7 linked regions of the Oryzias latipes genome follow. The main gene of each other region encodes a partner of the protein of the gene in region 6 in a complex. Links are inferred from orthologs where the notes say so. Each region holds a gene or a part of one and is shown on either strand. Other genes may lie near its edges.

What was found.
Region 1: crnkl1 (region 6) and snrpg share a complex: the UniProt entries of both Homo sapiens proteins name them as parts of the minor spliceosome. The link is inferred for Oryzias latipes from reciprocal best matches to the Homo sapiens genes CRNKL1 and SNRPG.
Region 2: crnkl1 (region 6) and scnm1 share a complex: the UniProt entries of both Homo sapiens proteins name them as parts of the minor spliceosome. The link is inferred for Oryzias latipes from reciprocal best matches to the Homo sapiens genes CRNKL1 and SCNM1.
Region 3: crnkl1 (region 6) and snrpf share a complex: the UniProt entries of both Homo sapiens proteins name them as parts of the minor spliceosome. The link is inferred for Oryzias latipes from reciprocal best matches to the Homo sapiens genes CRNKL1 and SNRPF.
Region 4: crnkl1 (region 6) and snrnp200 share a complex: the UniProt entries of both Homo sapiens proteins name them as parts of the minor spliceosome. The link is inferred for Oryzias latipes from reciprocal best matches to the Homo sapiens genes CRNKL1 and SNRNP200.
Region 5: crnkl1 (region 6) and armc7 share a complex: the UniProt entries of both Homo sapiens proteins name them as parts of the minor spliceosome. The link is inferred for Oryzias latipes from reciprocal best matches to the Homo sapiens genes CRNKL1 and ARMC7.
Region 7: crnkl1 (region 6) and ppil2 share a complex: the UniProt entries of both Homo sapiens proteins name them as parts of the minor spliceosome. The link is inferred for Oryzias latipes from reciprocal best matches to the Homo sapiens genes CRNKL1 and PPIL2.

What each region holds. Positions count from the first base shown.
Region 1 is NC_019865.2:4,866,768-4,870,377, forward strand, and holds snrpg (small nuclear ribonucleoprotein G), read right to left. Parts: upstream 2,462-3,610; 5' UTR 2,348-2,461; coding exon 2,316-2,347; intron 2,173-2,315; coding exon 2,150-2,172; intron 1,996-2,149; coding exon 1,871-1,995; intron 660-1,870; coding exon 609-659; 3' UTR 501-608; downstream 1-500. UniProt on the Homo sapiens protein: Plays a role in pre-mRNA splicing as a core component of the spliceosomal U1, U2, U4 and U5 small nuclear ribonucleoproteins (snRNPs), the building blocks of the spliceosome.
Region 2 is NC_019874.2:27,122,062-27,126,065, reverse strand, and holds the start of scnm1 (sodium channel modifier 1), read left to right. Parts: upstream 1-1,204; 5' UTR 1,205-1,296; coding exon 1,297-1,347; intron 1,348-1,566; coding exon 1,567-1,637; intron 1,638-1,710; coding exon 1,711-1,799; intron 1,800-2,218; coding exon 2,219-2,310; intron 2,311-3,038; coding exon 3,039-3,139; intron 3,140-3,230; coding exon 3,231-3,358; intron 3,359-3,451; coding exon 3,452-3,563; intron 3,564-4,004. Other genes in the region: lysmd1 (lysM and putative peptidoglycan-binding domain-containing protein 1), read right to left, coding at 1-107, 301-483. UniProt on the Homo sapiens protein: As a component of the minor spliceosome, involved in the splicing of U12-type introns in pre-mRNAs. Plays a role in the regulation of primary cilia length and Hedgehog signaling.
Region 3 is NC_019881.2:20,375,325-20,379,581, forward strand, and holds the start of snrpf (small nuclear ribonucleoprotein F), read right to left. Parts: upstream 2,801-4,257; 5' UTR 2,666-2,800; coding exon 2,663-2,665; intron 2,067-2,662; coding exon 1,941-2,066; intron 5-1,940; coding exon 1-4. UniProt on the Homo sapiens protein: Plays a role in pre-mRNA splicing as a core component of the spliceosomal U1, U2, U4 and U5 small nuclear ribonucleoproteins (snRNPs), the building blocks of the spliceosome.
Region 4 is NC_019867.2:18,366,173-18,369,348, reverse strand, and holds the end of snrnp200 (U5 small nuclear ribonucleoprotein 200 kDa helicase), read left to right. Parts: intron 1-35; coding exon 36-144; intron 145-249; coding exon 250-439; intron 440-533; coding exon 534-698; intron 699-788; coding exon 789-910; intron 911-1,015; coding exon 1,016-1,159; intron 1,160-1,242; coding exon 1,243-1,419; intron 1,420-1,509; coding exon 1,510-1,670; intron 1,671-1,777; coding exon 1,778-1,859; intron 1,860-1,936; coding exon 1,937-2,029; intron 2,030-2,107; coding exon 2,108-2,251; 3' UTR 2,252-2,676; downstream 2,677-3,176. UniProt on the Homo sapiens protein: Catalyzes the ATP-dependent unwinding of U4/U6 RNA duplices, an essential step in the assembly of a catalytically active spliceosome. Plays a role in pre-mRNA splicing as a core component of precatalytic, catalytic and postcatalytic spliceosomal complexes.
Region 5 is NC_019877.2:19,372,906-19,377,193, reverse strand, and holds armc7 (armadillo repeat-containing protein 7), read right to left. Parts: upstream 2,801-4,288; 5' UTR 2,554-2,800; coding exon 2,463-2,553; intron 1,715-2,462; coding exon 1,571-1,714; intron 1,488-1,570; coding exon 1,144-1,487; 3' UTR 497-1,143; downstream 1-496. UniProt on the Homo sapiens protein: As a component of the minor spliceosome, involved in the splicing of U12-type introns in pre-mRNAs.
Region 6 is NC_019882.2:16,307,262-16,311,434, forward strand, and holds the start of crnkl1 (crooked neck-like protein 1), read left to right. Parts: upstream 1-1,373; 5' UTR 1,374-1,512; coding exon 1,513-1,560; intron 1,561-4,120; coding exon 4,121-4,173. Other genes in the region: cfap61 (cilia- and flagella-associated protein 61), read right to left, coding at 76-226, 441-598. UniProt on the Homo sapiens protein: Involved in pre-mRNA splicing process. As a component of the minor spliceosome, involved in the splicing of U12-type introns in pre-mRNAs.
Region 7 is NC_019867.2:618,824-622,323, forward strand, and holds part of ppil2 (peptidyl-prolyl cis-trans isomerase-like 2), read left to right. Parts: coding exon 1-132; intron 133-3,500. UniProt on the Homo sapiens protein: Has a ubiquitin-protein ligase activity acting as an E3 ubiquitin protein ligase or as an ubiquitin-ubiquitin ligase promoting elongation of ubiquitin chains on substrates.

The sequences.
Region 1 (3,610 bases), on a different chromosome or scaffold from region 6:
TTTAGAAAAATTGGTAACCCTTTGTTTTAGTGTCAAGCAGCTAATGTTTTTAATTTTAAAATACCTTAAATTTTTTTCCTTTCAACGTGGAAACTTTTAAACTTGATAGAGCTCAAGAATAAACAAACTGAATCCAACTTTTTAATATTTTATGAACAAATACTTGCCTGCTAGTTTATAACAAGTTTGCCAGCTCATGAATGGAAATTACGCATATCTTAAATATTCAGCTGACTTTAGGTCTATCAAATTATTAAAATAGTTCAGCATTTATGTCTTCATCACCAGCATTCCCAACATTGTTTAGCCATTATAGCTTTTTAACAGCTAAGCTATAAAAAAAGCTTTCGAATTCCTTAAGATAAGACTAACCCTAACATTTAAGATATTCTTTTTTTGTTTAGCAGCTCATCCTCCATTACAAAAACACTAAATTCTTGCTGCATCTACAGGAAAGAACACATACAGTAACATTTCGTAAAACCAAACAAATGCACGGATAAAAAGAAAAATAGTTTATTAACAAACAAACATCTCAAAACCAACAGACTTTCATTGTGAATGAACTACAATGGAATGAGAAAACAGGAGGCGCCGCTGTGCTCTGCTCATACTCGCTCCAAAGCCTCCAACATGATGATGCTGTTTCCTCGGATGACCTTCGGGAAGACAAAAGGAAAACAGATCAGATCTTTTCACGTTTACACATTTATTTTTACACAATTGTGTGTTGAATAAGAGAAATGTTCTAGTTTGGGAAAAACTACTAAACCCTTTCCTGAGGCTGTCACATCAGGAAAAACCACGAACCTGCCAACGTTTGGTTTCACAGATATTCACTGGAACAGGCAATTGTTATTTGTTCTTCCGTAAAGACAGGTCAGTTTTGTTTCAGATAAACTAATTAGACATCTTTGGAAAAGCTGGAGTATTGGGGGGGGGGGGGGGGGGGGGGGGGGGCAGTATAATATATTTAAGAGAGATTTTCAGTAGGCATTGAGGCTCCCCTGTTGGTCTGGATGTATTTATTTTAAGTAGTAATGAACTTTTGGCTACACATAAAAATGTGGAAATGTTTTCCAGTAACCCTGCTTTATTTGCAGCTAGTCACGTGGATCAGGTGGATTTCATCAAGCAGAATCTGCAGCTTCCCGATCTAGAAAACCAGTAGCAACTAGAATACAGATGCCTGGAAAACAAACGAGGAAGTCTGTCTTATCAATATAATGTTATATTTACAAGAGAAAGTGGATAGAATAGGTTCTTTGACTAAAGAATTTTGAATAAACTTCGAAACAAAATTTGTTTTTGTAGAAAAAATTAAAAATTAGTTGCCGGAAATGATCAAAACCACTAAATGACCAACTGGGATTGCTTTAATTTATTTACTTTGACATGTTCTTGTGGCATTTTTCTGATGAGGACATATATTTAAAAAAAATATGCTTAAAATTGCTTTTCTGCGTATTTCTTTATTCAAAATGTAGTGAATTAAAAGGAGTTAAAAAAAAAGTAATTAAAACAAAAAAAGTGTATTTGTGAGGTAGAAAATTTTCTTTATCAAAAAGATGATTTTTAGAACATTTACATTTTTGTTACTAACTAGCAGACCCCTAACATATTTTATTGGTTCATATTTCTTTATAGGATTGTCTGGTTTGTTAGGAAAACAGTTGTGCATGTTTTTATAAATCTATGTAGACAGCACTCAAATTGGTTCAAATTGTCAAAAGATGGAATTGCTAATAAAGATAAAAATAAATAAAGAGTATGATCTTTAATTGAACCTATTCGTCCTGCTATTACGGGTGGGGTAAAACATTGAATTAAACTATTCCCTCATGCTTCACAGTTCTGCTCGGACACTGACCACCATCCCGATGGTGTTCTGCTGTCCCCCGGGGCCCATCTCCAGACAGTCGTCCATCACCAGGTTCATGAAGGGGTCGAACCCTCGCAGGATGCCCTGGACGTGTCTGCCTCCATTCAGCTTCACTGAAGAAAACAAAAAGAGCAAACTGATGAACATGAAGGCTGCTAGCTTAGCTAAAAGCGAATTTAATTTCACAAGAAAAAGCCGGCGAATGAATAGAAATATAGTGTAATTTTGAAATATGTATTAAATAATGAAACGAGAGTTTTAACTCACGGGAAAGCTTTTTGTCCATGAATCTGAAAGACAAAAACATTATTTAGATTTAGCTTCAATTCCTAGCTGTTCCGGCTAACGGTGGCTAACATGGAAACATACTACAATCTCGCGAAAAAGACCGAAGCTATCAGGCCTATCATCTTTCAAAAACTTGCAAACTTACTTCTTTAGCTCTGGTGGATGCGCTTTGCTCATGGTGTCTGTATTTTAACGAAACAAAGTCGTGTTTCAATTCACAAAACCGCGTAGGAAACGCGTGTGGACCGGGAGACCGGAAGTAAAACCCTGTGACCTTTGCTGTGCTGCGCCCTCGTGCGGCTGGGAGGAGTAATCTGGTTTAAAAAGGGATCAGCCAAAGGCAAATAATACTATTTGCAGTTAGAAAATGACCAAAACAACTATAAAAATACATGCACATGAAGTGTGTGATATATTTTATATATATATATATATATATATATATATATATATATATATATATATATATATATATATATATATATATATATATATATATAGAAAACCTTAAAAAACTCATTGTATTAATAGATTTTTATTTGTGCAAAAGCACAGCTGATTAGTTTTATTTTTTTTTGGTTGAACATCTGAGCTGTAATGATCAAAAGCAAAAATAAAATCAAACATACATTTAAAAAATGCGACAGTTTGTTTTACTTTTTCCTTTACAAAGGAAGATTGTGAAAAATTCCCAAAACATTTTTCAAACTTTAAATCATCACAGTGACACTGAAAAGAGCCGCTGAAAATAACTTTAGAGAAACAAAACTTTGAGGCGGCTGCTTTTGTTTGCATAGAAAGGAGATACAATCCACGTTTCCTGCTATCAATAAAGACATCAAAAACGTTTTTTATGAAGCAAAGGTTTATAGGAATTCATGCTAGACCCTCAGAAAAATGGAAATCTCATAAATTCGCACTCACTAAAAAAACAAATGGCTGAGATTCAACCCAAAATCTACCAAAGAGAACAGCCAGCCATTCAAGAGGATGTTAGCATCCATTACTTCATATTTCCTCACTAACATGACCTGAGCTACCTTAACTTTAAGAGGTTATGGGAACATTTTGAAACTATGATAAATTTGATAAACTATGATTTTTACTTTTACAAGCAATTTTAAAGAAAAAAGAAAAACAGCTTCATTCATCCTCAGTAGGATGTTGTTAGCAAGTTACCATGGTGATGTGCTCATGGAAAGCTGTCCTGACAAAAAATAAAATGTAAGAATTAATAATTATATATTTGCTGATTATTTGGAAGAAAACAGCACAATTTGACAAAACACATTCAGTGTATTAAAGACATAAATGATGATGTTAATCAGTGCTTTCCCTCTCCAGGAAGTTTAAGTTTTGATGGGAAAATAGCTTTTGAATCTGCCAGGCGTTGATTCAAATTGTAACAACTTTATTAACAAACAGAAAGCAGAAGGCATC
Region 2 (4,004 bases), on a different chromosome or scaffold from region 6:
GACAAATGAATCCCTTTCAGGTCTGACAGAACAGGGATCGACAGAGACTTCTTCAGGAAAATAGAGTCGTTGGTGTAAAGCCTATTTGCTCTCTTGATTTGTTCCATCTGGAAGACAGAAGAATGTTGTTGTTTTTTTTTTAAACTAACAAATGTCAGAATCAAAAAAAATTATGTCATAACATAAAACCAATGAATAGATTTTACTTTTAGTGTGGAAACAAAAGATGTTCCTTGTTAATATTTCAAATTGTTTTAATTGTCTAAAGTAGGGAGTACAAATCTGGTTTATTATACTTACAGAGACTCCATACTTCAGGGCCAGACCTTGGAGCGTGTCTCCGGACTGAACCGTGTGTTCAACGTGTCTCTGGCGGACCGGAGACGCCGGCGACGATCGCATCAAGCTGCCGTACGACATAGCTCGGCTTCCGCGAAGAAGACCGCCTCTCCCGGATGGCAAAGCCGCTCGTTGTCCGGACATATCCGATAATTATTTATGTGAAAATCATCAGTAACACGTACGCAATTTTAATGTTGGAACTGGTTTGACGTCGTCCTAAACTAGCAAGCCCAGTTCACCTGCTAGCTGCTAAAGTATCGACTAATTCATCTTCTTCTTGCCAAAGTGCCGAAATGGCACTGCCTGAACCTTATCAACAGTCGGGAATTGAAGAAAAACTACTTAAAACACCTTAAACATAGCTTAACTGTCAGTAAACAATCTAAAAACATATCTAAAAACTTTAAATATGTTGTTTTTTTCAGTCAGCTGCAGTCTGTTGCCATGGCTGCCGCTGTGAATGACGGCTCTCATTGGGTGGGTTGTGTTCAAAGTAATTTGAATACTGAAATTTAAATGAAAACATAACATTTTTATTTTTTTTATTTTAATCAGAGTTTGTTTAGTATGAATTAAAATTTCATTGATTAAAATAGGCAGTTTTTTTCCCCTTCGCGATTTATTTACAAAAAATATGTGATGTTATAAACATTTCACATCGATGCTTTCTTAAGAGTACATGCAAACAAATCAATTTAAATGTAAAATAATATTTTAACAATGGTTTGTTAGACTAGTTAACTTGACCATAAATAAATGAAATGGTACGATGGGAAACTGCAACGTGGTTAGCTGGAAATCGTGGACAAAAAAAGTGTACATGTTTGTCCCTGAATGCAGCACTACCAACACTTCCGGGATAGTGTGACGTATAGAGAAGCTAGCCCAATGAGTTAACTCATTGAGCTAGCCGTTAATCTGGTGTTTATACCATTGATTTACTTCGATATAATTATGTCATTCAAAAGGGAAGGAAATGATGGGAGCCAACTTAATATTTTAAAGGTATTTAAAATGATATAATACATTGTATTCATAAAAGAATAGGCTTTCTTAAAGTTCATACGCTGTCGTTTTTTATTTGTTTTGCTAGCTTAGCTAGTAGCAAGTTTCATATGGATATAATGTACACAGAGTAAATGAAAACTGTTTGGTAAAGTATTTAATGTAAATTTTTCATCTGCTATGAAATACTTACTGATGATTTGGGCTGTTGGTTTACAGAAACGGCGTGTATCTGACCTTTTGTCCAATTTTATTCCGGAAGATGAAGCTGCTCTTCTGAGTAATGGCAGGTGAATATAACTAAACCCTAAGTGTCAGTTTTGTTGTGAAAGTAACTCACCTTTCTGCGTTCGCTCCACACAGGTACACGTGCCTTGTGTGTTCGTATCGCCCAGTGTTTGACACAGTTGACATGTTGACAGTCCACAGGCAAGGGAAGAAGCATTTAGAAGGTAAATATCCTCCTTAAAAAGTGACTCTTAGTGTGGAAAATTTTTAAATTCCCCAGTATAAAAGTGTCTTGGTGGTCATATTTAGATGTAGACAAAACACTGTAGGCTCATTTCTCTCAGATAGTGTTTGCACATTTGGCCCCAAACAGATCTTCTGTGTTGTTGATGTAACAGGTGTGTCATATTAAGGCACTAATGACAGGAGGTGTGAGCATCATTCGCCTGACGTTCGTTGTTTTCCGACATTAATGCTACATAACAGAGTATTGGTAGAAAATGGATGTAAATGTCACTCCAGAATGGGTGTGACATGTAAATATGTCATATATGTTTTCTTATTTTTTAAATAAAGTTTTATTATGCATGTGCTTTTGGTGCATGCTTTTATATCCGTTGTGTTTTTTTGTTTTGTGTTTTAGGTTTAAAATCCTTTTATGGGAAAAAGTCAAAGTTCAAGAATGAAATTGCAAAAAGAAAACATGAAGATTATGTCAGAGCAGAAGACAAAGAGGTTTGGAGCTTCAACTTGATCATTTTACCTGCGGGTAATTTTGTATTTTGACCGACCGACCGACCGACCGACCGACCGACCGACGTACCGACCGACCGACCGACCGACGTACCGACCGACCGACGTACCGACCGACCGACCGACCGACCGACCGACCGACCGACCATCACACGAAACAATGACATGATGACCGACCGACCGACCATCACACGAAACAATGACATGATGACCGACCGACCGACCATCACACGAAACAATGACATGATGACCGACCGACCGACCATCACACGAAACAATGACATGATGACCGTGTGATGACCGACCGACCGACCGACCGACCGACCGTTTTTACAGAGACGACTAAATACTTAGTGTTATTGTGGTTAAATTTTTATTGTTGCTGAATTATAGTACTTTATTGACTTGTTTTGGAATGACAGTTGTAGAAAGGATGCACCTCCTGTACTCCTGTAAAGATATTATGTCGCTGCTTGTAACATGTTAAATATGGATATAAGAATAAGTCGTATTCTTGTGTGACATCCAGTACGTGCTTGTGGCTGCCACGTGACTCAGACAACCTGTAGACTCTGCAGCGTGAGTTGAAGCGGGTGTCTGCTGGTGGAAAACATGAGCAGAGCCGGCCAGAGGACACATGGAGCATTTAGCTGAGTTGGAGTCTGTCAGAGCTCAGTCTGAGAGACAAGTCTCTTTTGTTGTGATTGCAGGAGCCCTCCAGTTCGGCACCTTTACTGGCACAGACCCGGAAACTTACCCATCATGCTCTTCTGAAGACTGTTCCATACAACAGCTGCCACAGAAAAACCAGGTTGGTCATCATTTAAGGTTAAAATACTCATCTGTAGTTTAAAATGGAAGTAAAGATGTGAACATATATCTGTTTATTTATTTATTTTCAGTACAAAGTTGAATAAAGGACAGTCGAGCACTGCTGGAAACACATTTCAACACAATTTCCCATCTGCATGTTGGAAACCAGAAGTTTCTGACAATGCATCCACAAGTGATTCTAGTGATTGTTTCACAGGTAAAATCTGCTCCTAGAAATCATATTTTGATATTTTATTTAAAATAACTGATGGTTCTGTTTCAACTGATGCTTTTATTTTTATTTTTGTAGAGTCTTGTTCATCCAAAGACAGAATTCAGTGTCAGTCTGAGTCGAGACAAACGGCAGAACTCATAACGCCGCAGAGGCGAAGAGAGATGGAGCACTACCTCAAACTGAAAAGGTGCAAAACTCTCTTTTCCTTTTTGTCACCAGTGCTAGATTGAATCTGCAGGCCACAGAAACTATGTTTTAGAAACTCTTAGCTTAACAGTCCAAGCAGTAAACTGATAAAATGAGTGAAGTCCTCTGCCTCAGGCTCCACACCCAGCTCCTCTCCAGCATCTTCACATGCGGCCCGTTGAAATTATTCTGCTTCCTTGATTTGTTCTCTCACTCATTTATTTGTGTTTGCACCATTTCTGTACATTGTGATTTATAGGGTAACAAATATATGGGATGTACACAAGACTTGACATTTTAAAACATCTGCGTCCAATCCTGACATAAACAAATGGCACGCCTATCAACAAATAAAGTAATAAATCCACCAAATCTTAACAAAGTTCTTCAATAAACGTATGGAAGGTTGAGATAATAAATTCATAATTGTGAAAGTTTATCA
Region 3 (4,257 bases), on a different chromosome or scaffold from region 6:
CCAGCTGTCAGACATCATACAGAAAAGTCAAAACCTCAAACCTTCTCTTCATTTTTCTACCAAATTAAAGATTTGTTAGATTTTACGTTCATTCTGTGGCGCCCTCTGCTGGATTAAACAGTAAACTACTCATAACGTTTAGTTTAAAGATCAGCTCTGATCATCTTAAGATCTAGTGTCAAAGCCTTCCCAGTGGTTCTAATTATGATTACCCAGTTTGTTGTTGTGGCGAAACTGTTGGTACAGAGCAACCCCGCCCCCCTTTCCCTCGGAGCAGGGAGCTTGTTGCCCGCCCACCATATTTTCAACGTCACAAATACGATCTTAATCAAAAGGCATTTTGTCTTCTGCTCCTGATTCATTCTTCATACGTGTTCTCCATCATGAGAAAGATGCCACAAGAATATTAAAAAAAAAAAAGATCTTATGGATTTCTTTGCTGTTTCCCAAATAACCAAATGCAAATTTTCTGTTCTTTTCTACAAATGTTAAAAGATTAACCTTTAATTCCAGCACCCAAGTTTTCATCTAAATACTTATATTTTTCTGTCATTTTTTAACTAATATTTAACCTGAGAAAATTCACTCGACAAAGAATCTACTTTGGAATTTCAGGAAATTAAACATTTTAAAAACAAGTCCAGATATAAGACTTTTTTCTGAAGAGCTTAGAAAAGCGTAAGAAAAGATGTTACTGTTATGGTGGCGTGTCACAGTTTGGTAAAAACCCATTCCATCTGAGGATTTCTGCAACAATCATGTACTTTTCCTGCCGTTTATCACTTTTTTTCTACAAACTAAACAAGTAAAATGTTTATGGTAATTTCCTCTGAGTAAAACACAACAAATGTATTTCTTTTAAAATCTCATAATAAAAGATGACAAAGTTAAACAACAACCTTCATCTAAACAACAAGAGTTTCTTAGCAAAGGTCAAATTTCATGAAATCTAAATATACAAAGAATTATGTAAAATATGGAGAAGCAACACCGGTTTGGTGTGAGAGCTTTAAGGGTCTGAAATCTCAATTTTTTAAACAGATTTCTTTTATTCTACATGTGCTGCTATCTAAACAATAGAACAAAATGGTTTGATATGTTTTGGTAAGAAAAGTTGTTCCAGATTTAGAAATGCTAGCCAACTTTCATGCAGTATCAGGCCGCTGCAGCGACTGACTTACAGACTTAATTGCTCAGTGAAGGACAAAAAAGCTAAATTTGGAACATTTTTAGTTGTGATTACTACGGATAACCCTGATCAAAAAATGAGCATCACAGATAAATACTTAAAAAAAATAAGTGTTTAGAGTTGTTTTGACTTATTTACTGTTTAAATAACAATGTGAGACAACATTTATGATTTGGTTTGAATGACTTCATTGGTTCAGAGAAATGTTTTGTTATTTGTGCCCAGAATAATCTTATTGTGAAAAACCAGAAGTGTTTTCATTTAGAAACTGTATTGAGTTTGTTTTTGACTCTTGGATGAAGCGGAAAGTTCCTGATCAATAATTGCTGAACAGGATCGTTTAGCAAACTCAAAAAAGCCTCCGTCATCTTTGCAGAGGCTGTCACTATGCGACAGGAGCCATTTGACCTTTTTTTAAACGACTTTTTTTTATTAAAATGTTATATGATAGGATAGTTAGAATTTTTGAAAAAAATTGTAAACTGGTACAAGAAAAGCTGCTAATTGGTTTTCCACCAACAGTCGTCTAAGTTAATGCTCAGAATAGAAGACTGAAAACACTGTTGGTCATTTAGAAACATGTATAATAATAACAAACTGAGTACGATAAAAACACTCTTGACTAATTTAAAATAGATTGAATAAATAATTGCATTTACTTTTGAGTAGTTTGCCTCTGTGTTGCAGCTGCATTTTAAAATCCCAGAATAAACCCTGATATAGTTGTGAATGAAGCTAGAGTTGCTTTTACCTGCATGTTCATGTATCCGTCCACAGACACCAGGTAGCCTTTGTACTCCATTCCCCACTTCAGCTTCACCATCACTGGTTTCCCTGTCAGGCCGTTCAGGAAAGGCTTTGGGTTGAGGGGCAAACTCTGCGGCAGAGGGGATTGAAACCTTACATCAAGTCTGCAAACATGACGCTTTTCCCTATGAGATATTTAGAACTTTAAGTATGCGGGTTATTCATGTTATGGACAGTCTCCACGTCTGATTTCTTTACACCACCAATCATCAACAGGAGCGACTGAAGAACCAATCTGGACTGCATTAAAAAAATAAATTGAATAATTGGGAAACAGTACATAAATTCGGTTTTGGAGCAGTTTAATTATTCAAATGACCTATATACTTCTATTAATCTGTTGTATAATGTTCGACCACACTACTACCTGCAGAGGAACGTCATAGTTTTGTGTTGTTCCGACGGACGTTCATTTTCTGATACGGCAACACGTTACCCAAAACAAACAACACTTTAGTAAAAGCTCACTTGAATATCTAACCGTTTCATTTTTAAAGTTTTGTTTTTAGTGTAAGTTTGTTTTCCCCTACGAGCTGTGTAAACCAGTTATGAATGGGATGCTAACATGGCTAGCATAAACGAGCTAACTCTCTTAAATTCTTTGTTTTAACAAACTTCAATAAACCCAAAGGCCGTGTGAAATTACATATTTGAAGAGTTACTCACCATTTTGCTCGATTAAGTTTAGACCCGATTAACAGTAAATTAGAAGTTTATTATGTCTTCGTCACAAAAACGTTTTAGCTTCACAAACTAGAAGCACGCTTTGCCGCCGACAGGAAACGGAAGTGGCATCGAGCTTTTCGCCGCGCCTCACGTCGCCCCCTGGCGTTCTGGATGTATTAGTGCAACAAAAAGACTCGGACTATATTCTGATCACATTCCAGTGCATCTGCTTTATAAAGTCATAATAAAATAATCATAAATAAAATCAGTTTACAAAATGACACAACATCATTCACACAATTAGTAAACAACAAAAAATAAACAAACTATGAAAAAAAACATAAATAAACTATTTTATAACAATGAGACAAGACCAAATGTCAAAAAATAAATAAATAAGTGAAATTAAAAATGATTTATAATCAGATAATATAAAACCCAATGGAATTATAGAATTGTTGTCATCAGCTCCAGGCTGCTGACAACATGTGCTGACGAACTCTCACATTCTGCTGTTTATTTGAAAGGCTTGCATTACCGAGCTTTAATGTAAGAAAATGATTTTAGTTTTGTAAATGTTTCATTTGAGCCTGGAGCTGGAGAAGATGCCAAAACTGTGGATGACATCTCACCATACAGGCACTCACACTCTGTATCAACGCCAGGTAGATTTCACGTTTGCTACAGAGGAATCATGGTGCGAGGCGGTTACCAAGGAGGCAATGGCTAAGTAAGTAAGCTGAGAAGTGTTTATGACATATAGATTGTTGGGAAAACAGTGCGAGAATCAATGTGTGAGTTGGTGGGTCTCATCTTCAGAAGATAGATAGATAGATAGATAGATAGATAGATAGATAGATAGATAGATAGATAGATAGATAGATAGATAGATAGATAGATAGATAGATAGATAGATAGATAGATAGATAGATAGATAGATAGATAGATAGATAGATAGATAGATAGATAGATAGATAGATAGATAGATAGATAGATAGATAGATAGATAGATAGATAGATAGATAGATAGATAGATAGATAGATAGATAGATAGATAGATAGATAGATAGATAGATAGATAGATAGGGTTGGTTTCCCTTTTGGCTTTTCCCATCAGGGGTCGCCACAGCGAACGAGTCGCATGGTAAACTTGGCAATGTTTTACGCCGGATGCCCTTCCTGACGCAACCTTCTCAAAGCAACCGGGCTTGGGACCGGCACAGAAGTAGAGAAGGGAACAGGGAGCAGCCCGGAGTCGAACCCTGGTTTCACGGACGGAAGGCGCCGCAAACCAGCACGAGCTAAACCAGCTCCCTATATATCTATATATATATATATATAAAATTTAAAAAAACGCCCCTCTCACCCTCCGTGGGTGCTTTCTCCTCCAAGCTCGGGTCCTCTACCAGAGGCCCGGGAGCTTGAGGGTCCTGCGCAGTATCTTAGCTGTTCCTAGCACTGCGCTTTTCTGTACTGAGAGGTCTGAGGTCTTTCCAGGTATCTGTTGTAACCACTCCTCCAGCTTGGGGGTTACTGCCCCAAGTGCTCCAATTACCACAGGCACCACTGTCACCTTCACTTTCCAGGCTTTCTCC
Region 4 (3,176 bases), on a different chromosome or scaffold from region 6:
ATATTTTCAATCATTTTTGTTTTGTTTTCTTTCAGATATGTGGATTATCCCATTTATGACGTTCTCCAGATGGTGGGCAAAGCAAACAGACCCATGCTGGATGATGAAGGACGATGCGTCATTATGTGTCAGGGCTCTAAGAAGGTAAACATTAGTGGTTTTATTGTTTGTTTTAATCCATTTAGGATTGGAGTAATTATTGCACAACAGTATTCTTCTAATCTAATACTATATGGATTCTTCTTAAAGGACTTCTTCAAGAAGTTCCTGTATGAGCCCTTGCCTGTGGAGTCTCACTTGGATCACTGTCTCCACGACCACTTCAACGCAGAGATCGTTACCAAGACGATCGAGAACAAGCAGGATGCCGTGGATTACCTAACCTGGACGTTCCTCTACAGGCGGATGACGCAGAACCCCAACTACTACAACCTGCAGGGTGGGCAGCATCCCTCCGAGAGGAACATCAGATTATACTGAGGCCGTCACAAGATTGTTAGTTTTAAGAGTCGTGTGTTTTCTCTCGATGTCAGGCATGTCCCATCGTCACCTGTCTGACCACCTGTCAGAGCTGGTGGAAAACACGCTGCACGACCTTGAGCAGTCCAAATGCATCAGCATTGAGGATGAAATGGATGTGGCACCACTCAATTTGGGCATGATTGCTGCCTACTACTACATCAACTACACCACCATCGGTTTGTAGCAACCGTTGCTTCTCTGTGTTGGTTAAAGCCGTGTCCTGAACGCTGAGCATCACGCTGTAACTTTGCTCTTATGTCTGGCAGAGTTGTTTAGCATGTCTCTGAACGCAAAGACGAAGATCCGCGGGTTAATTGAAATCATCTCCAATGCTGCTGAGTATAAAAACATTCCCATCAGGCACCACGAGGACACACTTCTTCGACAGGTAAGCAGACTCCACAGTGGGAATCCATCATCTTTCATTTTTGTTGCAGCACAAAGTCTAACCGTTTATTTGACATTAAATTGTGGATCTAATTTTACATTAAAGCTGGCACAGAAAGTTCCCCACAAGCTCAACAACCCGAAGTTCAACGATCCCCACGTGAAGACGAATTTGCTGCTGCAAGCTCATCTCTCCAGGATGCAGCTGAGCGCAGAGCTGCAGTCAGACACTGAAGAGATCCTGAGCAAGGTTCACGTTTGAAATGCTTCTCTCCTCCCTCTTCTGTGAATGTGTGTGTAAAGCTGATCCCACTGTGTGTTTGCTGCATGCAGGCGATCCGCCTCATCCAGGCCTGCGTGGACGTGCTGTCTAGTAACGGCTGGCTCAGTCCTGCGCTGGCTGCCATGGAGCTGGCCCAGATGGTCACCCAGGCTATGTGGTCCAAGGACTCCTACCTGAAACAGCTGCCCTACTTCACCTCAGAGCACATCAAGCGTTGTACTGACAAGGTGTTTCGCATCGTCTGACTGCTGCTTTTGTCTTCTGTCAAAGCTCGCACATTTAAACTGAAAAGTTAAACCTGTGTGTTTTGTCTCCAGGGTGTGGAGAGTATATTTGACATAATGGAAATGGAGGATGAAGACCGAAGCGGCTTGCTGCAGCTCACAGACGCTCAGATGGCAGACGTGGCTCGCTTCTGTAACCGTTACCCCAACATCGAGCTCGCGTATGAAGTGGTAGAAAGGGATAACATAAAGAGGTTAGTGTGCAGTCCAATCAAGAACTATTCAAAACAATGATGCATTTTTGGATCAGATTTACATCAGCACTGCCCTCTGGATAAAATTTGGTCTGTGTTTTCTTCAGTGGCAGTCCAGTTCTGGTTCAGGTTCAGCTGGAGCGTGAGGAGGAGGTGACTGGCCCTGTCGTCGCTCCCCTTTTCCCTCAGGTCAGTTGAGTGGCTGTCCACTTCCCTATAGGTGTTTCCTACATTTGCTTCATCGTTTGATCGTCTCATCGTTGCAGAAACGTGAGGAGGGCTGGTGGGTTGTGATCGGAGACCCGAAGTCGAACAGCCTGATCTCAATCAAGAGGCTGACTCTGCAACAAAAAGCGAAGGTGAGCCGCTGCTTTGAACACTCCCTAACCAAAAATACGCAAACTACCACAGTTTTCATTTTTGGTTCTTCTGTGTAGGTCAAGCTGGACTTTGTGGCACCAGCGATGGGCATTCACAACTACACGCTGTACTTCATGAGCGACGCTTACATGGGCTGTGATCAGGAGTACAAGTTCAGTGTGGACGTGAAGGAGGCAGACAGCGACAGCGATTCAGATTAAGCTGGAAATTCAAATTCTACATTTTTAATCCTTTTTTTTTTTTCAATAAATAATGGGATCAGGTTTTATATGTAGATATTTACCCCGATCAATCTCTGAGAGTGACCCTGTCAGTTCTCTGTGGGTGTTATAACATGTTTTCGTAGTCAGTACAATCGTTTTATCCTGTATGTTAAACAGCTTTTCAGAAGTTTTGTGTTCTTTACGTTGACCATTGATGTACTTTTCACAAAATTATTCAAAGATAAGTCTAAGACATCTTAAACTGCCGTTGAACAGCTGAGTCTCATCCACATTGCATGTTTAAATAGATTAGACTTTCCATTTTACTTTGGTTAAACGTCATAAGATTTTTTGGATTGGTTAAACCGTTTAATCATTCATGCTGTCTGTTTGTTTTTTGCAATAAAAACATCTGAAAATTGTTTTATAGTTTTATTATGAAACAATTAGTTCTTAGTCTGGCCCCTTTTATGCTACAAGCTCATGTCACTACAGCACTTAATGGATATTGACAAGATTGTTCTTGATCCCCTCCCTTTATCCCTATATATATCCCCACACCTGAAATGTCTGAATAAGCTTGCAAAAATGTCTTTTGGTAATGGAAATAACTGCACTGAATGAACTTGTTTTCAAGTTTGGTAGTTGGGTTTAACCCTTGTGCTATCGTAGACGACTCCCCCCCCCCTTACATTGACGTGTTCTCCCTACCATGATAAAGGTGGAAAGATTTCATGTAATTTATGGATACCAGAGAAGATTACAAATCATTGGAGAAAAAAGGTTCAGAGCACTTTCTAGTGGGTCTAGATGACCCCACTCCCAATGTTAGGATAGCACAAGGGTTAAATTAACAGTGCAAGCCAGTTGGTGAGCTTTGACTACTGATAGTGGTGTTGTGCTATCCTAGGCACTTTACCAT
Region 5 (4,288 bases), on a different chromosome or scaffold from region 6:
TAAATCCCTTTGTGCATTTGACCAATCGGATGGAGCCCTTTTATGTTAGATGCTCGCCTCATAGGTAGACGAGGGTCATTTGGAGTGTAAATAATTGAAACTATTTACATTTTACGAAACCCTTGTGATATCTTAGATGACCCCACCCTTACATCGACGTGTTCTCCCTACCATGACAAATGTGGATAAAGGTGGAAAGATGTCATGTAATCCATTGACACCAGTGAAGATCACAAATCATTGAAGAAAAAAGGTTTAGCGCACTGTCTAGTGGGTCTAGATGACCCAACTCCCAACGTTAAAATGTCTAGGATAGCACAAGGGTTAACCCTTGTTGTTGTAAAATTAAAATGCAGCTGTTTTTGCTATTTGTTGATATGTAGCAAGTATATTGTCATCGCAATATTGATCACCAATGTTGCAAATTTTCCTCATATCATGCCGCCCAAGTCAGGACTAAAGGGAGGAGAGCCAAACACTCACACGAAGGCAGAACTTCTGTAGATTTTTTTTATTTCAATAAAAGACACCTGAATTATCCAGACTAAGAAAGCCACAAACTTAGGCTTCCATGAGGTTTGGTATTTCTGCTGATTAGTGACAGTTGGTAGAAACGTATTCCTCCCATGAAAGCAGGATAACTTGGGTTTCTATATGTCTTTTTTTTTTAAATCTAATACGACTACAGACAAACTTTCCCTCATTTTTCCTTTGATGAGTATCTGACCTTTTCAGTTGGTGTCCAACATTTGAAAGGAATTATTTTCTGTCTAGTAAAACACATCTTTACCATTTTTCCATGAGAACAAATATACTCATTTTGCTGGAAGCCTGTTTTGAGCAAATTTCAAATTACTTTTATAAATGTACTTGTGCTTAAAAACATACAAAAACCATCTTAATATTCAGATTCTGATCCAGTGAAGACATGAGTCCTGTGCAAACTCCAGCTGCAAATGAGAGGAGGTGCAAGACCTGGACAAGCAGCTTAATTTTCCTCTCTTCATAACCAACTTTAGGGTGGATTTTGTTCAAAGGAAATCCTCCAGATCGGTTCAACATCTGCTGAAAACACCAGAAATTAAACAATCATAAAACCAAAACGGTCACTGTTTGTTTCCACTTGACTGTGAAGCAAAGTCTTTAGTCTTTGGGTAGTGGGATCCCAACAGCCATCTGCTGTCCCTGCATCTGCTGCTCGGCCTGCCTGACCTGATCCTTGGTGCAGCAGTCCTGCAGGAACACAGCAGCTAGGTTGTGCAGCCGGGGACTCTCAGCAAGAGAGAAACGCAGCATGCACTGCAAGATGCCTGGCTCTGTGAGCTGAGATTGTGAAGCTGGAGTCACAAGGTTCATAAGGGTAGTAATTGCTGATAGCACTGTCTCCTCCCTCTGGTTTGACAGACAGTTTGTGATTAAGCTGATGCCGTCACTGTCCAGGATGAGGTCCCTGCAGTCTGGGTCCATACTGAGGTTACAGAGCCCACCTGAGAAAATTTAGACCAAAAAAAATGTTTTTCACTGCATTTATGGTACAAAAAAACCCAAATGATAATCTAAAAAGATTCACCCATTCCAAACTCAATAAAGTTCTCGTTCTTCTCAGTCAACATATCCAGAAACAGGTCGGTCACTTGCAGCTGTCGCAGATACTCTGTGTTCTTTGGGTCGTAAGCAAAGTTGGCGAGGTTTGCCAAAACCTGCTCCTTTGCCTCTAACGACAACAGAACATAAATAAAAAACACAGAATCAGATTCAAATTCAATTAAATTACATATACTGGACATTAATGACTGAAACGGGAACAAGGACCAAAAGCAAGATAAATTTAATCCACCAGAGGGCGCTTTTTTACACCTCAACATTAAAAATAAGACTAAAGACCTGCATTCCTAAAAAATTATTGACGGACAATAATATGTAGTTTGATCCTTTATATATTGCATATAAAAGGCTGCAAAAGTCTATCAGCATAAATCATTAAATGGCATTTGTTAAATTTTGGTTTTATTGATTTTTAAAAAACGTCATTATGCATTTTTAATTTAGTATTCAAACATGATCGTCAGAATTACTAAAGCATAATTATTTAAAAAAAAAAATCTTAAAAGATAAATGCATTGTTTTTTTCCTGAATAATCTGTCCTGTTTCTAAGCATTCAGATTTTAAAAATTAAATTTTTGTAGTTTATATATATATATATATAATAAAATAAATAAAAATAAAAAAATAATTATATATATATATATATATATATATATATATATATATATATATATATATATATATATATATATATATATATATATATATATAAAGTGACTATCATGGATTGATATAAGTAAGACATGCTTTCATTACAATGTTTATGCATTAACAATTTAATTTCAAAGAATTTGTTGTAAACTAGCAATAATTCTTAGTTTTTCTAAATGAATCTGCGAGCTATTTGTGTTTTTACCTTCACTGTCACTATCCTGAAACTCTGTGACAAGAGCCTGTAAATATTCAAACCGGTCAGAGGTTTCGGGTGAAAAGTTCCGTTTCATCATTCAGTATCTTATATTGTGTTTTTAAGAAGACAAACGCGCGATTAAAACAAAAAAATAAAATACATTTGAAATAGTATCCTCATTTATGCATTTGGTTTCAGTAGTTCGTTCATTTTGTCCGTCTTTCAAATACGTCCGGCTTAAATTAGAATTTGGACAGTGGTTCCGGGATATTGTTTCGTGACTCTTTTTTTTTCTTCTTCTGAAGACTGGATGAACTGTTAACGCAACAGAATAACAATTAAAAATGAAACCCAAAAGTAGAATTAAGCTGTTCTTACATAAAAAAGAGCTGTCAATTTATTTTATCACTTAAAACGTTGTGATTTTTAATAATTAGGCCTATAATGTTTCGGTAATAAATCACTTTGATTTAATTTAATTAAATGATTACTTTTTGTCATAGACGATAAAAGCAAATTACTTTACGAAATTCAATTCTCAAACGGAAGTCGGTACTTCTTTGTCGACATAGACGTCAGTGCTGGACCGGAAGTTGAGGCGCTCCAACGTCCCTTCAGCTAACTAACTCACGCGCAGGAAGGTCAGCTGAAAACAAACTCACGTTTCTGTTGCTGTTTGGATTCTATGCCGTGAACCTTCTGATTTAAAGTTCTGCAGCAATGAAGCCTCACAAGCTCTCTGCAGCTAAAAGGCTCACGAAACCTATTCTGTTCGGGAGCATCATTGTTGGACTTGCCACTGTTTACATAAACAGGTGATCTATTTTCTTATTTTGTATAAAACAATAGGAAAGTTATAACGCAAATATAGACTTTAGTCTATATATTCAGAATATTTTTTTATGTGTTTAACGTTGGAGATTGTTGTCCTTGCGTAATGACGCTGACGTTTGATTGTAATCAAGTTTAAGAAAAACACTGAAAACATGTCTGTACTGTCCTTAAGTACAAATTAACATTGGAGCCAAACCATAATTTCATTAACAGGAAATTTTGTCTTTAAATATCTTTAGTAATAGGAAAAATACAACTATTTTTATTTTGTAGCCCTTTTTATTTCCAAAGCAAGGCATCACAGACACATACTCTTTCTTTGCACCACAAAAAATACTAACATTTAATTATATAAGTGTAAGACTGCAGGTAACAGCATTTTTAATTTATAATTAGTAATCATTTGTAATGAGACACTAATGTTTTTAATTAGTAGATTATTTAGCATAATTTCAGTTTTTGACCAGTATCTTCTACAACCTGGAGTGCAATTACTATTTAAAATAAATTAAAGAAATCTAAATAAATGTCTTTGTAAAATATATCTTTAAAATAAGAATCTTTTTTGTAAAACATATTGTGTTATTGGAAGTGGGGGGCTTTTTCACTTCACAAATTTCTCTTTTCTACATTGGTGTCACGTTTTTGACACTTAGTGCAGCTGCTTTTATCAGATTACATTTTTTAAATTTTTTTTAAATTTTTTTGTGTGAAATCTGCTCTGGTTTAGTTGGTGTACTGCTGCAGAGATTCCTTTTCTAAAAAAAAGTTTTAAAAAGAATTTGAGCTGCAGATTGTGCTTTTCCAAACCAGGTTACTGTCTTAAAGAGAGCCCATTTTTGCATTTTGTGGTTTAAAATGCAGCTTATTTTTGTGTCCTGTGTTTGTATTTTTCTGTCTTGCAGACACAGGTTCTTTGAAGATGTGGATGAACTTCGGGCCCAGGAGCGCGCTCGCAATGACGCCAAGAGGGGAGAGGTCATGGAGAGGCGGCAGAG
Region 6 (4,173 bases):
AGACAGAACCGCAACATAATTAGTCTTTTTTAAAACATTTATGTTTAAAGAGATGATTAAATAAGTGACGCAAACTGTGCATTGTGGGGAGCTGAAGTGTTTGTGCAGAAACTGTTCCCACTGGGCCTGATCCACCAAGTCTCCAATGGGATGATCGACGAAGACAGCATGGGCCACAATGTCCTGGTTTTCATTGACCACTGTCAGGGCGAAGCTGGCTTTGTCTCTACAAGGAAGATCCCAAAAGACAAAAAAAAGCAAAATTATTTTATAAAAATAAATAACTTAAGTTAATAATTTATCATCAAAAGCAAATACATGTTTACTCTTTCTTTCAAATTACCATGGTCTTTAAACACTGACTGTATGGGATTAAATGTCAAAGACACCATAGGCTACAAGTCTGTAGATTTTTTGTTTTTAAAATACAATTGACCTACTCAAGTTGAACAACGTTGACTCTTCCAAAAATTGGACTTGTGGAGGTTGTTAGGCTCTCAATCCACTCAATGTCTGCTGATCCACCTCCTACAACGATAGTTTGACGGCTTGCGTCCTCAGCTAGACAGTTTAAAGTTTCAGATTTCATGATGATCATCTAGTGAGAGCAGGAGAAAACCGGGAAAAAAAGTCGCGATATAAGCAAAAAACGAGTAAAAATAGCTTCTTCTTTTTTTTCTTCTACAAGGTTTACTAACTCCTTGTTTTAGATAAAGCAATCCACATACTAGCTGCAACTTACTGTTCAATAACTGTGGAATGACAGAGTAGCTCCGAAAGTTTTTTTTTTTTTTTTTTTTTTTCAAGGGCAGTTGTCACAGCAACTGACGCCGCGCGGGTAGAACCATTTGTAGCCCAATGCATTGTGGGTTATCAAAGGACAATAAACAAACAAACAAACGAAAACAAATAAATAAATAAAGTTATTTGTCAAGGGAAAAAATAACTTGGCTTTTTTTCCTATTTAACATAAAACGTTTTTGCAAAATTACCTATTTGCAGACACTTGGTCAGATATTCAAGATATCAGCAAATTAAGATTCTAAACAGTGGTTACAAAAAAAAAAATATTTATTTATTTATTATAATTATTGAGTGGTAAAAACATCATCACTCTGTTGTAAATGTCAAAATAATAAAAAAATGGTCTAAGTGCAATTCACAAAAGAGCTAAAAAGCAACATTTTTCTTACTCAGAATCAGATGATAAAAGCAAACGCATCTGTATAAAGTTACTCAGAATATTTCTCTTTAAACATTAATAAGAATGCATTCTATGTCGTGATCTTCTCTGCGTTGTACACTCCAGTCCACGTGGTGCCGACAGCGGGCGTGAACTTCTAGGTTGGAACCGGAAGCTAAAAGAAAGAAATGAATTGTGGGTACTGTCATGGGCGCTCACACCGAGCAACAAGCGAGCAAACGATTTTGTTGTTGTCACTAACCAGTATACCATTTTAGAAATTGAACTTGGCATTTTAACGTAAACTGTTGACTTGCTAAGTAGTCAATATGGCCTCTACTGCTGCTGGAAAACAGCGGATACCAAAGGTGGCTAAGGTAAGTGAGAACGAAATAGCAAAGCTCTCTTAACAGCTTCGCTAAGCTAATGCTAATAATCATTTTCCCCCCAAAGGCACCCATTTTTAGTATTGCTGGCTTTTTATTTAATCATTAAAAAAAAAAGTGTGTAATACATGTGTAACAATGCAACAACAACGTTTTCACATTTTTACAATAAGAAACTATAATGAACAATTTTCAAAACTAAACTTATTTAACACTATTCTGAAAGTTCTAACAAAGAGAGTAACAACATGGTGACCTGCTTAGTTAAATTAAAATGTAACAATATGCTAATTGTTTTAATAATTTGCGACGAATCTTTATTCATTTTCCAAAACAGAAAATTATAAATCATTTTTTAAACAATTGTACAGAAGGGGAACCTTTTTTTTAAATCAATTTCATCTTGTAGTTATAATGTTTTTGCAAGAATTATTATCATGTTGAATATGTTGTTTGACTGGAAAACACAATTATGAAATACAAATATTTTATGTTGAGATAATAAAACAATTTCCCCAGGCATTACTTTAGATATGTGTACTATATCAGGCCAGAAATATTAAAACATGACAATGTACAAAGACATGTTTGCCTAATATATTCACCATGGCGCTGGCAGAAAGAGCACTTATTCCATACATTTGGGAGAAACAACAAATATATTGCGTTTTTTTTTTTTTTTACTGGGTGATATTTAAGGATAATTTAGAAGATAAATCGTTTAATATTATTTACATTAATATAGGTTTTTGCTAACAGATTGTTTCCCAAAGTGTTTTTACATACACTTTTTTCAATTAGACTTATTCCTTGAACTTAAAGTGACACTATGGCATTTATTTTAAGTTGTATTATTTGATGTAGAATAGACATAATACTCATTTTAAAACCTGTTTAAGGAACAATATTGGATTTGCCTAAAGAACTCACATACGTATAGCATTCACCATTATCATCCAGTAACTAGTTTACTGTACTTATATTTATAATGAACCTGGCATTTATTTATTTTTGTGTAAAATGTTCTATGGACTGTGATAACTACATGTTCAATCTGCAATGTTGCAACTCTGTCGTGATTTAAGCAACTTTTCTTTCCAAGATTTGATCATGTAAAAACAATAAAAAAACAACAACAAAAATGTACTTATTGTATTGACACTGCAATGCAAACTGAAAAGGAATCTATGGTCTTAAAAATACACTTTTTGCTTCTCTTTTTTTCAAATGCAAGAACATATTTTCAACGAAATTACTACGTAACTTAGTTAATCGAAGCTGAAGGTTTCCATTTATGCCGCTTCGGTTTGTCTCCTTTAATTTACCAGATAAATATTTACCTCCATTCAAACAACGCTTGCCATAACCTTCAGTGCAGTGACCACAAGCAAGTTATAGCAGGTTTACATTTCTTTCACTTGTCTATGATTGTCTATTTCTTTCACTTTAAATTAGGTAAAGTTAGAGAATTGAATTGCTGACACTTACTGCAGAGGTGAACTGAAATTAACACATTTTTCCATTTCCTGTTTTTTTGCCAAATGCTGAAACTCACTTAAAACTTGTTGCATTGTGTCCTTGGGCAAGACACTTCACCCTCCCTGCCTCCAGTGTTGCTCCACTGGTGTGTGAAGTAAGGGTTAATGGCCGACGAAGTGTGCGGTTACTACTTTTTAACGCACGCCGTGGAAGCCTGCTTCCGCGAAGTGCGTTAAAAAGTAGTAACCGCACACTTCGAAGGCCATTAACCCGCTTATACCATGGTCACTTACAAAAGCAATACATATTAACCAGGTTTTAGTCCTTAATTCTTGTTTTTTTTTTCGATTTGTATCACTTTTCTCATAAACAGCGTACTATATGTTACGTGATGCGGCGCATCGCGCCGCATCACGTAACATATAGTCCGCGTCGCGCAGCACCACCGCTGCAGTTAAGATTCGGCGATAAATATATATGCTGATCGTCCCGATGGGTTGAATAAAGCATCAATTCAGAGGGAAAGTTCACCTCTTACCGCTTGTTTTTGCCCCGATGATGAAGCAAAAGGTTGTTATACAGAAGCCGGCGCAGTGATACAAATCATTTAAGCTAGCCGACCGGAACTTCTTTTTCACCGTGCGGTTATCAGGTTTTAACGCATACCCAGCAGCCAATCAGAATCGAGTATTCAACCGGACCATGGTATAATGTGTATGAATGTCTCGGTGATGGTCAAAGGGGCCTTAGGTACGACCTGGCCGACACGCCTCTGTCATTCTGCCCCAGGGCGGCTGTGGCTACAACAGTAGCTACCATCACCAAGTATGAGGAGTGAATGAACAATGGACACATTGTAAGAGCTTTGAGCTTCTGGAACACACCGAAAAAAGTCCAATTTATTATTATTTTTATCATTAAGTATTTAATGAAATATGTGTATTTATTTTGGAGTTTACTAGCAAAGCACGGTTATTAAACCTTATATGTACATGTTTCCACTGATAATGTATTTTAAATAAGGATACCTGGGAATATGCAACATTTGTAAAGACTGTGTTTTGCGTTTTAGGTGAAGAACAAAGCCCCAGCAGATGTGCAGATTACAGCTGAGCAGCTGCTGAG
Region 7 (3,500 bases), on a different chromosome or scaffold from region 6:
TACCATCTGAACAGCACCAATCTGGAAACCAGGGAGACCTTAGCCGAGCTCTACAAGGAATACAAAGGAGATCAGCTGCTGGCCTCCACCATGAAGGAGCCGGAGGCCAAGAAAACGGACAAACTAAATGCTGTGAGTAGAACCCTGATAGGAATAAACTCCTCCTGACGTTGTTCTGACACACTTTGTTTTGGCGTAGCGTCAGAGCTTCTTGTTCTTCTCCTCAGAGTTGTTGAATAATTATGAAGCAGATTCTGTTTTTACTGCTGAACAATTGCCTAATGCAGCAGTGACTCAGCCCCTCCCACATGCAGCAGAGATCTCAGCTGTTTTTTTGTTTTTCAAATCCATCATTTCAACTCAGACAAATGAAGCCAATGGCTCAGCTGTTCCTGGTCACATGATAAATACCGTAGGAGCCTTGCTGCCTTTTTGTTTGACTGGAAAACAAGGACAGCAGGTTTTTAATGATGCCAACCTGTTTGGTTTTTCCTCTAATGAAAGCTGCTTCACGGAGCAGAGCTCTGTCAGTAAAATGAACCGTCTGGATCGTTTCACTGTCAGATCAGCTGTTCGTTTTTAGCCAGCAGCTCATGAAAAGTGCCATATCTGCTTCCAACACAAGAGGGAGCCAGACAGACAGGTGTGCAGCTACAGCAGAGTTGGACTGACTGACATGACAGCTAATCAGTCAGACTGGAGCAGCTTTTCTCCTCATTTTGAAGCTTCTTTTTGCTGCTGGGCTGCGTTTGGCACAGAGGTTTCCTGAACATGGCGGTCTGGAGGTGAAGGTGGTCTGAGAGAACAGACACAGCAAATGAGGTGAAGTCTGAGCTTTCACAGCAACTGGAGCAGAAACGTGTAAAGTCTGTGGCTCCACGTTCATTTTCTGCTCACTGAGCTGTCGGCTTTGCTCAAACGCCGTGTCAACAAATGTGCACGCGAGGACGAGAGGGCCGCAAATCCTCAGCGCTGCAGCGAAGAGGCGTGCCTCCAGGTTTACATCCATCATGTTAAATCAAAACGTTGAGTTCATGAAAGCCTCTCTTGCCTTTAATGTCCTTTTAGTTTGTCGGCATTTTAAAACCATCAGCTTTTCTTCAATGAATAGTTGATCGTTTCTCTGAAAACCAGGTTTTCTGATGTTCAAGGAGTCAACAAATGTATGTTTTTATTATCAATATTGCAGTTATTCAGGGGGGTATTCCAGGAAGCATGTTTAAACTCCCCTGACTTTAAGCCTGAACTCTGGCTGAAATCTGCCTGAACTTGCTTACTCTGGGTATGTCGGTTCCCAAAGACCGGATATGAGTTGGTGTAATTACGCTCCACTTGGTAACCCTGGGTTAATGCACGTGCACAGCAGGTACATAAAGACATTCTCAATAGATCGCCGATTTCTGGAGTCACCATGGAAACGCGTGGAGAAAAAAAGAGAACGCTATACTTCAGTGAGACGGAGTCTGAGATTAATGACGGCGTATGAAGATTATACGACCATCAAAAAAGTGACACGGCTGCATCATCAGCAAAAGAAAGTTTCTGCTTGGAGAAAAAGAACAGACAAAGTAAACGCACGAGTTTCTGATCTTATTTCCATTTTCCTTGTGACGCATATATATATAACTTATCCAATTTTGCCACCTTAAATGAAATACTTCTATTGGTAACAAATAATTGAGTTAAATTTAATCAACCTAATTTCTTACGTCTATAAAACTCAATAATTGTTTTTACAACTCAAATTTATGTATTTATCTAACTAAATGTCATATTACTCCAATTCAATTAATATTTTTCCATCTTAATTAATTATATTTCTTGATCTCTCATATGTCTAAGTATGAGCCGGCAGATATGTTCATTTTTATAACAATAAAAAGGACGGGAAAGAAATGCACATTGTGCACAAATTCATTAAAGAATTGTCCGTCTTTGTCATTACAATATGTAACGGTAGGGGTGCTCTATAAACTCATCATCCTCTCCTTCACTCTCACTCATGGTGCAGAGACATAAGCACAGTGGGACAAAATAACTCGGCAAAACAGCTAAACAACTAAACACATTTGGTCAAAAAGCCACACTTAAACCCAAATCCGTCCAGATAGGCAAAAGGAATGGTATCCCACAATCCCTTGCGGTGCCGGTCTAACAGCAGCACCAAAGTTAAACCTACTTAATTGAATTAATTTGAATGAAAGTAAAATGACTGTCTGAAAACTACGTGTTATTTTTAAACTGACTTAACAAACAAAGGATTTATCTTAACTGAAGCAAATAACTAAGTTAGATCAAAGTAAAAAAGTTTCTCTTTCCAACATCCATATGTGGTCTTATCCCCCTCTCATGGTGGAAAAAGTATTATCTGAGCTTCTTCATCCACTAAATCATCTTCAAATGGACACGCCATGCTGCTTCACCTCTCTGAAAACAAACTAACCTTCAACTAAACCTGCTCCAGACCAGGTTATGTTCAGAGCATGAGTTGCTATGGCAACTTGACATACCCTGAAACATACCTCTGTTTTTGGAACTGAAAGCTGAGGTTATCAACTTCCTTAGCCTCAAACTTACCGTGAGAGCTAGCATAACCTACTGTCTGGAATACCCCCCTGGAAACCGGCTCTAAGGTTTTCAGTAACGCTTTCCTTTACAGTACAGTCCTTACAGTGTACTTAAGCGGTATTTACATGGTACTTTTTGTGTAACTACTGGGTACTTACAGTGTTTACATGTGTACTTTTTATGGAATTTACTGGTTACTTACTTGGTACTTTTACAATGGTACTTTTTGGTTGATTGTTGTTCGTGTGTTCATATTTTGTTTGTAGTTCGCCAGCTGTTCACCTGCTGTTCGTTTGTTGTTTGTTTGTTTGTTGTTCATTCGTTTGTTGTTCATTTGTTGTTAGTTTTTTGTTTTTAGCTTGTTGTTTGTTTGTTGCCTGTTAGCTTGTTGTTTTCCTGTTAGCTTGTTGTTTGCCTGTTAGCTTGTTTGTTTGTTTTTAGCTTGTTGTTTGTTTGTTTGTTTGTTGTTTTCCTGTTAGCTTGTTGTTTGCCTGTTAGCTTGTTGTTTGTTTGTTTGTTGTTTGCCTGTTAGCTTGTTGTTTGTTGTTAGCTTGTTGTTTGGTTGTTTGTTGTTTTCCTGTTAGCTTGTTGTTTGCCTGTTAGCTTGTTGTTTGTTTGTTTGTTGTTTGCCTGTTAGCTTGTTTGTTTGTTTGTTTTTAGCTTGTTGTTTGGTTGTTGTTTTTCTGTTAGCTTGTTGTTTGCCTGTTAGCTTGTTGGTTGTTGTGAGCTTGTTGTTTGTTTGTTTGTTGTTTGCCTGTTAGCTTGTTTGTTTGTTTGTTTTTAGCTTGTTTGGTTGTTGTTAGCTTGTTTGTTTGTTGTTTTCCTGTTAGCTAGTTGTTTGCCTGTTAGCTTATTGTTTGTTGTTAGCTTGTTGCTTGTTTGTTGTTTTCCTGTTAGCTTGTTGTTTGCCTGTTAGCTTGTTGTTTGCCTGT